2 linked regions of the Nothobranchius furzeri genome follow. Each later gene encodes a partner of the first gene's protein in a complex. Links are inferred from orthologs where the notes say so. Each region holds a gene or a part of one and is shown on either strand. Other genes may lie near its edges. The genes, in order: setdb1b and ubiquitin-conjugating enzyme E2 E1.

What was found.
Region 2: the proteins of setdb1b (region 1) and ubiquitin-conjugating enzyme E2 E1 are in contact, whole or in part, in a crystal structure (PDB 8IYA), measured with the Homo sapiens proteins. The link is inferred for Nothobranchius furzeri from reciprocal best matches to the Homo sapiens genes SETDB1 and UBE2E1. Residues at the interface, in NP_001138887.1 of Homo sapiens: Glu868, Gly869, Tyr870, Glu871, Ser872; in NP_003332.1 of Homo sapiens: Asn125, Ser126, Gln127, Val129, Cys131, Leu132, Lys136, Asp163, Pro164, Leu165, Val166, Gly167, Ser168.

The regions. Positions count from the first base shown.
Region 1 is NC_091745.1:76,230,754-76,234,574, forward strand, and holds part of setdb1b (histone-lysine N-methyltransferase SETDB1-B), read left to right. Parts: intron 1-2,022; coding exon 2,023-2,133; intron 2,134-3,533; coding exon 3,534-3,821. UniProt on the Homo sapiens protein: Histone methyltransferase that specifically trimethylates 'Lys-9' of histone H3. H3 'Lys-9' trimethylation represents a specific tag for epigenetic transcriptional repression by recruiting HP1 (CBX1, CBX3 and/or CBX5) proteins to methylated histones.
Region 2 is NC_091745.1:63,675,407-63,679,668, forward strand, and holds the start of ubiquitin-conjugating enzyme E2 E1, read left to right. Parts: upstream 1-1,460; coding exon 1,461-1,615; intron 1,616-2,149; coding exon 2,150-2,200; intron 2,201-4,262. UniProt on the Homo sapiens protein: Accepts ubiquitin from the E1 complex and catalyzes its covalent attachment to other proteins. Catalyzes the covalent attachment of ISG15 to other proteins. Mediates the selective degradation of short-lived and abnormal proteins.

The sequences.
Region 1 (3,821 bases):
TATGAAGCCAACACGGAGGTGACAAAAATTGCACTTCCACCCTCATCCACTAGGGGCTGGTGTCAGAAGCGAGCAAATCCTCTTTGACTCCCATGTTAAAAATACCAATTTCACAGCAGAAATAAACATGTTTACAGCCTGGTACCAAAACATGTTTTTTGTTTAAATGATCTAGTTTACACTCATGACAACTCTGAGGGGGGTGAATTTTTTTGTCACTCCTCTGTTTAAGTGTATTAAAAGCCTAAAATTCTGTGGCCACAGAGCTAGCTCCGGGGAAAGGTCTCAGTAGAGCCTCGGCCTCGCCTGAAAACTGTTCGGTCATTTTCAGTCTCTCAACTTAGACCATTAGTTGTAGCGTGTGTGCGTTCTTTTTGGATATTATTTGTACAATTGTTGGACAAAATGACTTGCTGTGGCATTAATTGCACTAACGGAGCGTCCAAGGAGTCTCCACTTAATTTTTTTTGGTAAGTAAAATTATATTTATGTATTTTAGGTCACTGCCGAGCTGAGCTTAGATTTTAACACGTACTGTTTAACCATGAATTTTAAATGTAATAGGGTAAAACCCAGTGCATTTAACATAATGCTGCACTTTAGAAAATGGGTTGAAATATAACATGTTGGTGGAGCTAGGTTCCGACTATCGGTAGGGTCCCCTCCCCTCAGCGGTCAGCTTGGCGCATCTCTGATCGCAGCGGCGCTTGTCTGCTGCGCGGCTGTCGGCTTGTGGAGCTCTCGGGAAACCTCTGTGCTCCACCCGGTTCTCCCCAGCAGGGGCGGATTTAGGACTGAAGAAGATCCAGGGCTTAACACGCACGCACACACACACACACGTGACACGCACTAGTCAACATCATATATATTACAATTCACAAATATTTTCAAATAAGACTCACAAACCTGAGTCAACACCAGTCTCATCAAAGCTGGGGTTCTGTCGCGGTACTTTTGGTCTAAAAAACCTCCTTATGTCCATCTTCACTCATGCGTTTCAGGCAGAGAGTGTAGAAGAAGCCGGCTGCTGAAGGGCTTCTTCTTCAGTGGTGGAGGCTCAGGCAGGCTGTATACAAACTACTGCCAGCTGCTCCCTCTCTGTTGGACTTTGGTACTGCATGTTACTTCCACGTTTTAGATCTGGGGCTTGAGCCCAAGTAGCCGGGCCTAACGCCGCCCCTGCTCCCCAGCGGTCAGCCCGGCGTATCTCTGACTCAGAAGCTCCGGTGTTGTGCACAGTTAACTCCGGTTGTAGCTAGGTAGCTACCTCCATTAGCTTAGCTCCCACCACCGCATTTAGCTTTGGGTTAGCTTGTAGCTACATCGCTTCAGTTCGACCGGGTGTCGTCAGTTGATCCCAGCCTTAAAGCCACACCCTCAGCTCCACCTCTCTTGCCTTTTGTGGAATTGTCTGGGCTTGACGGAACCTGTGACACGGTCAAAACGGTGGTGGTGGCCACCTCCCATTTTGGCGCAAAAACTTATTATTGGAGCCTATGGACACGAATTGTCCAGTATATATGTCAATGGTATTAATATTATTCACAAACTTAAAGAAGAAAAGCTTTTGGTTCTGATGTACGCAGTTTCAGTCAGCTGTTATTTAACGTCTCAGGTCCTGCACCTCAAATGGAGGACGAGACAAACTGCGCTGCATTTGGGAAGTTGAGCTAAGGATGTTAGCGTGTCATTAGTTTTAGCATCATTAGCGTTCTCTGTTGACTCAGTTAGCAACTGAATACATCACGTTTTTTCAGTAAAAAGGAAAATAATGAAAACTGTGATAAAAGAAAGGTCTATTTGAACTTGATTTAATTAAACTGGTTCACTTGCTCCAAGGCTACATCACCATGGCAACTGAATAACAGCAGTTCAGTTCCAACAGGCTTTTAGAAATAAAAACATTGAGATTCTACTAAAGCCATCGATCCGTGGACACCAGTAGAGCAAACGATGCTAGCACACGCTTATCAACAGCTGATTTTCTAGTTTTATATGATTTGTCGTGTTTTTATATTCAAGGAATAAGCATCAGATGGCAAAGAAGAGCACATCTCCATTTATCCCTGGGGTTGGAGGAACACATGCCTCCAAAATCTTGCAGACTTTGTCCCCCACTTCCAGCAACCTCAGGTAGGTTCACCTCACGATTAAATTACTTTAATGATGTTTATTTTTATGTATTTGTTTATGTTTTTATATACTCTTACTGTATATACTCTAATGATCCAAAATTAAAGAGCAAGTTGCCACCAAATCAACTTATTTTTTCTGATAAACTATATAAATACGTGTCTAATCGTGCTGCAGACACGTGTAGTCAACAGTTTTGCACTTTAGTGCATTTTAGTTAAAAAATTTTTTTTTTTTGCCTAAAACTGTCAGTGTTGTGCCGTTGTCAGGTAAAAACTCTGCACTTGAATTTTAGGTCTAGTCCATACGTAGCCGTTTTTTTTAAACGAATATCCGCCCCTCCAAAAACTTGCATCCACACCACCTCGTTTTAAAAAAAAACTCTGTCCACACGTACCCGGATAAATACGTTGTTAAGGACATGCCAGACCTGTAGGCGGCAGTACTTCCCCCGTTCTTAACCTCGTCCTTCGTCTGTGGTCTTCCGCAAGGAGCAGTAATTCCTCTTGCAAAAACAAACAAGCAAAAAGCGCTTGGACAACTGATAAAGCGAGCGCAGCTCTGAGGGCGTCCATGCTGTCGGCTAGTGTAAACACAGGTCGCACACGTGATGTCAGCATTTTTTTGTTGCGGAAAGTGGCGTTGCTTACCTTAAAACTCCGGTTTTGTCTGTCCACACGCAGACACCCAAAACGGAGAAAACGCAGATCTTCACTTTGGCCGGAGTTTTTAAAAAGATCCGTTTTCGTGTGAAAAAACTCCGTTTTCGTGTGGATGACAGACCAAAACGTAGAATAATATCTACGTTTTGGCAGATCCCCGGCTACGTGTGGACAGGGCCTCAATCTGCCATCGCTATTGGCTAAGAGGCACCCTGGAACGTTAGCTGGTACCATATGATGTCACAGTGTCATTGTGAGCCTGTGTGTGTGTGTATTTGTTAGTGGCTCCGCCCTCTCGCTCTGCTAGCAACAGCATTTGTTGCATTTTTCAAACAGGAAGTGGGAGTGGAGTAATACTCTGGTAGGGGGTGACCTGCTCTGTAATTTACTTACAATAACCTATGAGAATTCCCTTTTTAACACACCAACCTCTATTCAGTGTTGTACCTTACTGCCACCTGGTGGCGGAAACAGGTATCTGTAATCTAAAAATCTAAATGAGGGATTTTTAAACGCAAATAATCAGGAAATTAACACAGAATAAACTTTATGGATTGTTTTGCTAATTTCTTGTAATTTCTGTGATTAAATCGTGTTTATTTCTAACTTTATTGAAAACCAACAACTTTAAACAAAGAAAACTGATCAAATCCGTTCAGATTATGATCTTGGGATGGTTGCTGTATGATTTAAGTTATGTGATTACCTTTTTATATTTGTCTTTTTGTAAATCCACAGCGGAAAAGTGATGGCTATTCCGAATGCCTCTACGTCCCAACCCTCTGTCACCGTTTCCTACCAGAGACAGCCCTCTGTGGCTCCTCCCCCTCCACCTGTGACCCACGCCATGGCCGTAATTCCTACACAGCCCGCCTACCGAGCCCCGACTGACCGCATCTTCTACATGCCTCACGTGTGTCAGCCCGCTTGTCTGAAACGAATCCGGCCGGTGAAACCGGACAAGCATCGAGGGAAAAACCCCCTCCTCACACCCCTGCTCTATGATTTTAGACGCATGACGAGTCG
Region 2 (4,262 bases), about 13 Mb from region 1:
GCTGTCTGGGTGTCATCGGAGCACTGCTGTACAGCTCCTCTGGGAGACTAATCTTGTTTAAATTAAATGTACTTGATGTGAAGCTTTGACACACGCCGCGGACGGCCCAGTTTCCCCAGCAGGACCGGAGCTGTTCAGCCTCCCGCAGCCGCGGAAGGCTACTTCCGTTCCGCAGAGGACGACAGGCAGCAGGCAGCCTGACGGTGGCGGAGGTCCAGACACAAAGAGTGGGTAAGTTTCACGAGCGAGATGAATGGTTCCGTTCAAGCGTTTAGTTCGGCATTGTGAAAATCTGCGCTGATTCCCAACATGTTTGCGTTCCCAGCTGATGTTGATGCGCGGCGACAGAAACGAGAAAAAGAAAAACAAAACGCTCGAGGTCGAGTCAGCAGCAGCACGGGGGGAAGGGCTGCGTCTATGTGCTGGAGCGGTCCTCTTTTTCTCATTCTTGCTTCAAACCTTTAATTGTTACATTTATATGTGTCTTAATGCCAAAGGCAGCGGTTCACAACGAGAGCTGACAACACAGCCGTCGTCTAATTTCACGTTATTATTGTTTTATCCACAAAGACTTGAGGCCCGAGTCTTCGTTACCAGTTAAGTTTTTTATGAAGCGGGGAGGACTAATGCTGGATTACTGATAGTGCTCACGAAGAAAGGTGATTTGAAGAAACATATGGCGTGTATATACCATCAGACACGTTTTAATTTATAGCTTACGATACAAAATTACCATATTTAATGTTAACCACGAGCTAGCTAAGGCTAAAGACTGTTAACCGTAGCGGAAAGCGTTACCTAACGAAAAAAAAAACAGAAGGCGAATCGCTGTGAAATCTCGCGAGAATCCTATCTCATGTCTGCAACATGAGATCAAAACAAACAAGCTAGCTAACTGATGTGTAATGTTTTGTGTTTGCACCATGGTTTGCACATGATCACATCCTGGATTTAATTTATTCTTTCGGATGTAAATGTTTTCAATATCTTAATTTTTTCTAATTTTATTCAGACTTATATATATATATATATATATATATATATATATATATATATATATATATATATATATATATATATATATATATATATATATATATATATATTGCTGCTAGGCTATATCAAGGAAAGGTGGTGCATAAATGTTTAGAAAATTAACATTTTCAAATAAATAATTTCCACAAAAACCTTTTAAAAAATAAGACTGTTTTCCCCATTATTAAGCACTTGGTTTGTTCATTTTTATTCCAGCTTGTTTTGTTAATCCTGATAAAAACCAGATGTTTTGTTTTTGTCAACACTACACATTTGAAAATGTGTTCAGAAACATAAACCTCCCAAAAGGAAAATACTATTACCTACCTTTATTCACAAGTGCTCCACATTTTTGGGTTACTTTCACTTTTCAGATTTCCTCCCATTTCTCCTCAGGTTGCGGCTCTTCTCCAATCCTAACCGGTATGTCGGATGAGGATTCCCGTGCCAGCACCAGCTCATCCTCATCACCACCTTCCTCCAGCCAAAACAGACACAAGGATACAGCTTTCAAGAAGAAACGGGAGAACAAAACCAGCATGAGCAAGACCTCCAAGCTGCTTTCCACCAGCGCCAAAAGGTTAAAAGAAATCTGTCATACAGCAATGGGCAGATTATTGTTGCTCATTAGATTCATGTCTGTTTAAAACCCCTTAAGACAACAATGTTGTTTACATATAAATATGTAACTTTTAGTAGCTGCTGATGGCAGGATAAGCTCAGAAACATGAGTAAACGACAGTAGAATTTGTTTTCATGACTTCCCCTTGTGTATTTATTTAACAGTGAAAAAAACACATTGATGGTCAAAGAGGAACTAGTTTAATTTGTGCTTAGGCGGTTGCTTCTATAAGCCAGAGTAGTGTTGTAAACCATGTTTTTAAGGAAGTACCAGTTTCTTCTTCAGTAAAAAAAAAAAAAAAAAAAATCTTCACAGTTTCAGTCTCATTCAACATTCTTTTCTACAAAAACAGTCAAACAGCATTAAGGTGTGTAAGTTAGTTTTCTGATGCCATGTTAACTAGATCATATTTATTTTTAATCACTTTGTTTGATTCTGAGTAATTCCACCTCTGATCCTTCCATCAGTAATTGATTTTTGTAACATTTGCAGAATTCAAAAAGAGCTGGCTGAAATTACCCTGGACCCTCCGCCAAACTGCAGGTGAGTTTACGGTTTTATGGTTCTTTATGTACTCACCAGCACGACAGATCAGAGTTTTGTCCTGATATTGGCTGATCCAAACTTCCTAAATGTTGAAACAGGTAAAATCATTATTATAGGTCAGTTCACAGTTCCAATACCCACACTGCACCCTGTGTCTTCTGTGAAGTGCGCTTAGAGGAAGTGTGCAGTAAGGCTCTGTGTGCTGAATTGGGACAGTGGCCGTTGCATCATCGACCACTGTGCATGCAGGGATGCCGGTTGCTGTTTGTGCTACTTTTTAAAAAAGCTTTATTAACAATTTTTAAACAGTTGACACAATTTACATTCATTGCTGTTCACATTAAATTTTAATCTTAAACATTCAGTAATGATATTTATTCATATAAATATCATTAGTCGTCTTAAAATGAACTTCTTTTGTTTGAAAATACATATTTTCAAATAAGGCACTTGAGCCATTGTTCAGTCTTTTCAAAATGCCTTCACAGCAATGGGTTGTGGGTAATACCCTTTGCCCAAGTCCGCATCAAGTGTGCAAAAGGGGTGTGGTCAATTTCCGCACTTGAGGATTGGTACACCTTGTGCCCCTGGACAGGAATGCGCAATTGAAGGGCACAAGGGTGGAAGTGTGAGTATTGGTATTGAGCCTAACACAACAACACTGGTTGACTCCTGGTTTCACAAGAACATGTGTCTAGAATGAGGAGGCGGGGCCAAGCTGGTGAGGCTGTGTTGGGATATTCCACGTCCTACTGATTGTCCCTCACAGGGGCCAGTATTACCGTGTTTTCACTACAGGAGTTCAGGGACACTTCTGGGAGAGGGAAAATTCTATAGCTCTGTCCTATCAGCTGTTTCTCCAACCAATCAGCAGAACGTAACAACAAGTCCCGTCCAGCGGCACTACCGGGCCTTTTCCTCGTACTTGCTCCAATTCAGGTTCTAGGTTGGTTCCTGAAAAGCTCTCAAAAGTGGCCCTATTGAGTCGGCCTGGTGAACGTAACGAAGGTCCAGCAAAATGACCCAGATGTTCCAAAAAAATGAAATGGGCCTTCTGTGTTGCTTTTTCCTGAGTACCGTGGGAGAGTTGAATCCAGTGAAGAACTGAATTCCAACAGCAGAATAAAGCAGGTTTAGATGGCACCACCTACAGTAAAGGTAACTAATCAGGCTTCCCACTGTTATCAGATCTATTACCATGAAGCTTCGTTGCAATAAACAAAATTATGTGTTGTCTCAGTTTGAGTTACAAATAGTTTCTTTTTCCTGAATGGAAATGTCAAATACCAAAACATTCAGTTTAAATAAGCAGCTGTTCTTCCAAGAGGAACTAAAATATTAAAACAAATGCGTTTTCATCTGAAGATCTGTATTTACAGCTGTAACTGAAAGTTGAACTTATTTAAAAAAAAAAGCTTCCTTCCTGGTACTGAAACCAAATTTATACTTCTCCGTCAGCTCCACCAGGGAGAGAGACGCACGAATGGAGACGTTTTGCCCCCATACTTCTCCGTCTCCTGGGGAGTGTTACAAAGCAATTCCCCACCAGGACAATAGAGGGCGTAGCACTGTTCCGTGTTATCCGGTCCAAGATGGTGTTTATATTGTGTTTTTTGCATTTAAGAATGGCCAAAACACACACACAAATGCCCTGGGGCCTCATTTATCAAGCTTGCTTACGCACAAAACTGGGTTGGAAAACTGTGTAAGCAACTTTCAATGCAAACTTTGGGATTTATGAAAGAGAACGTAGCGGGAAAATGTGCGCAACTTTAAGTTGACTAAGGACCTGGCTTACGCACATTTTGGACATGGAGAGCACCTGCAGTGCTGCTGCTGAGAAGGGTTAAAATTATGAAATCCTGCAGCATTATCACTTGTACCGCTTCATTTTCACACAGAACAAGAACCCCCCCCCCCCCCCCACACACACACACACACACAGAGAGCCTGAAGCGCAGAATACGGAATGCAGAATATCATCGGGGGACAGATTGAGACAGAATGTCATGCGTAGGGCTGGGAAAAACGATTATTTTTGTAATCGATTAATCTAGCG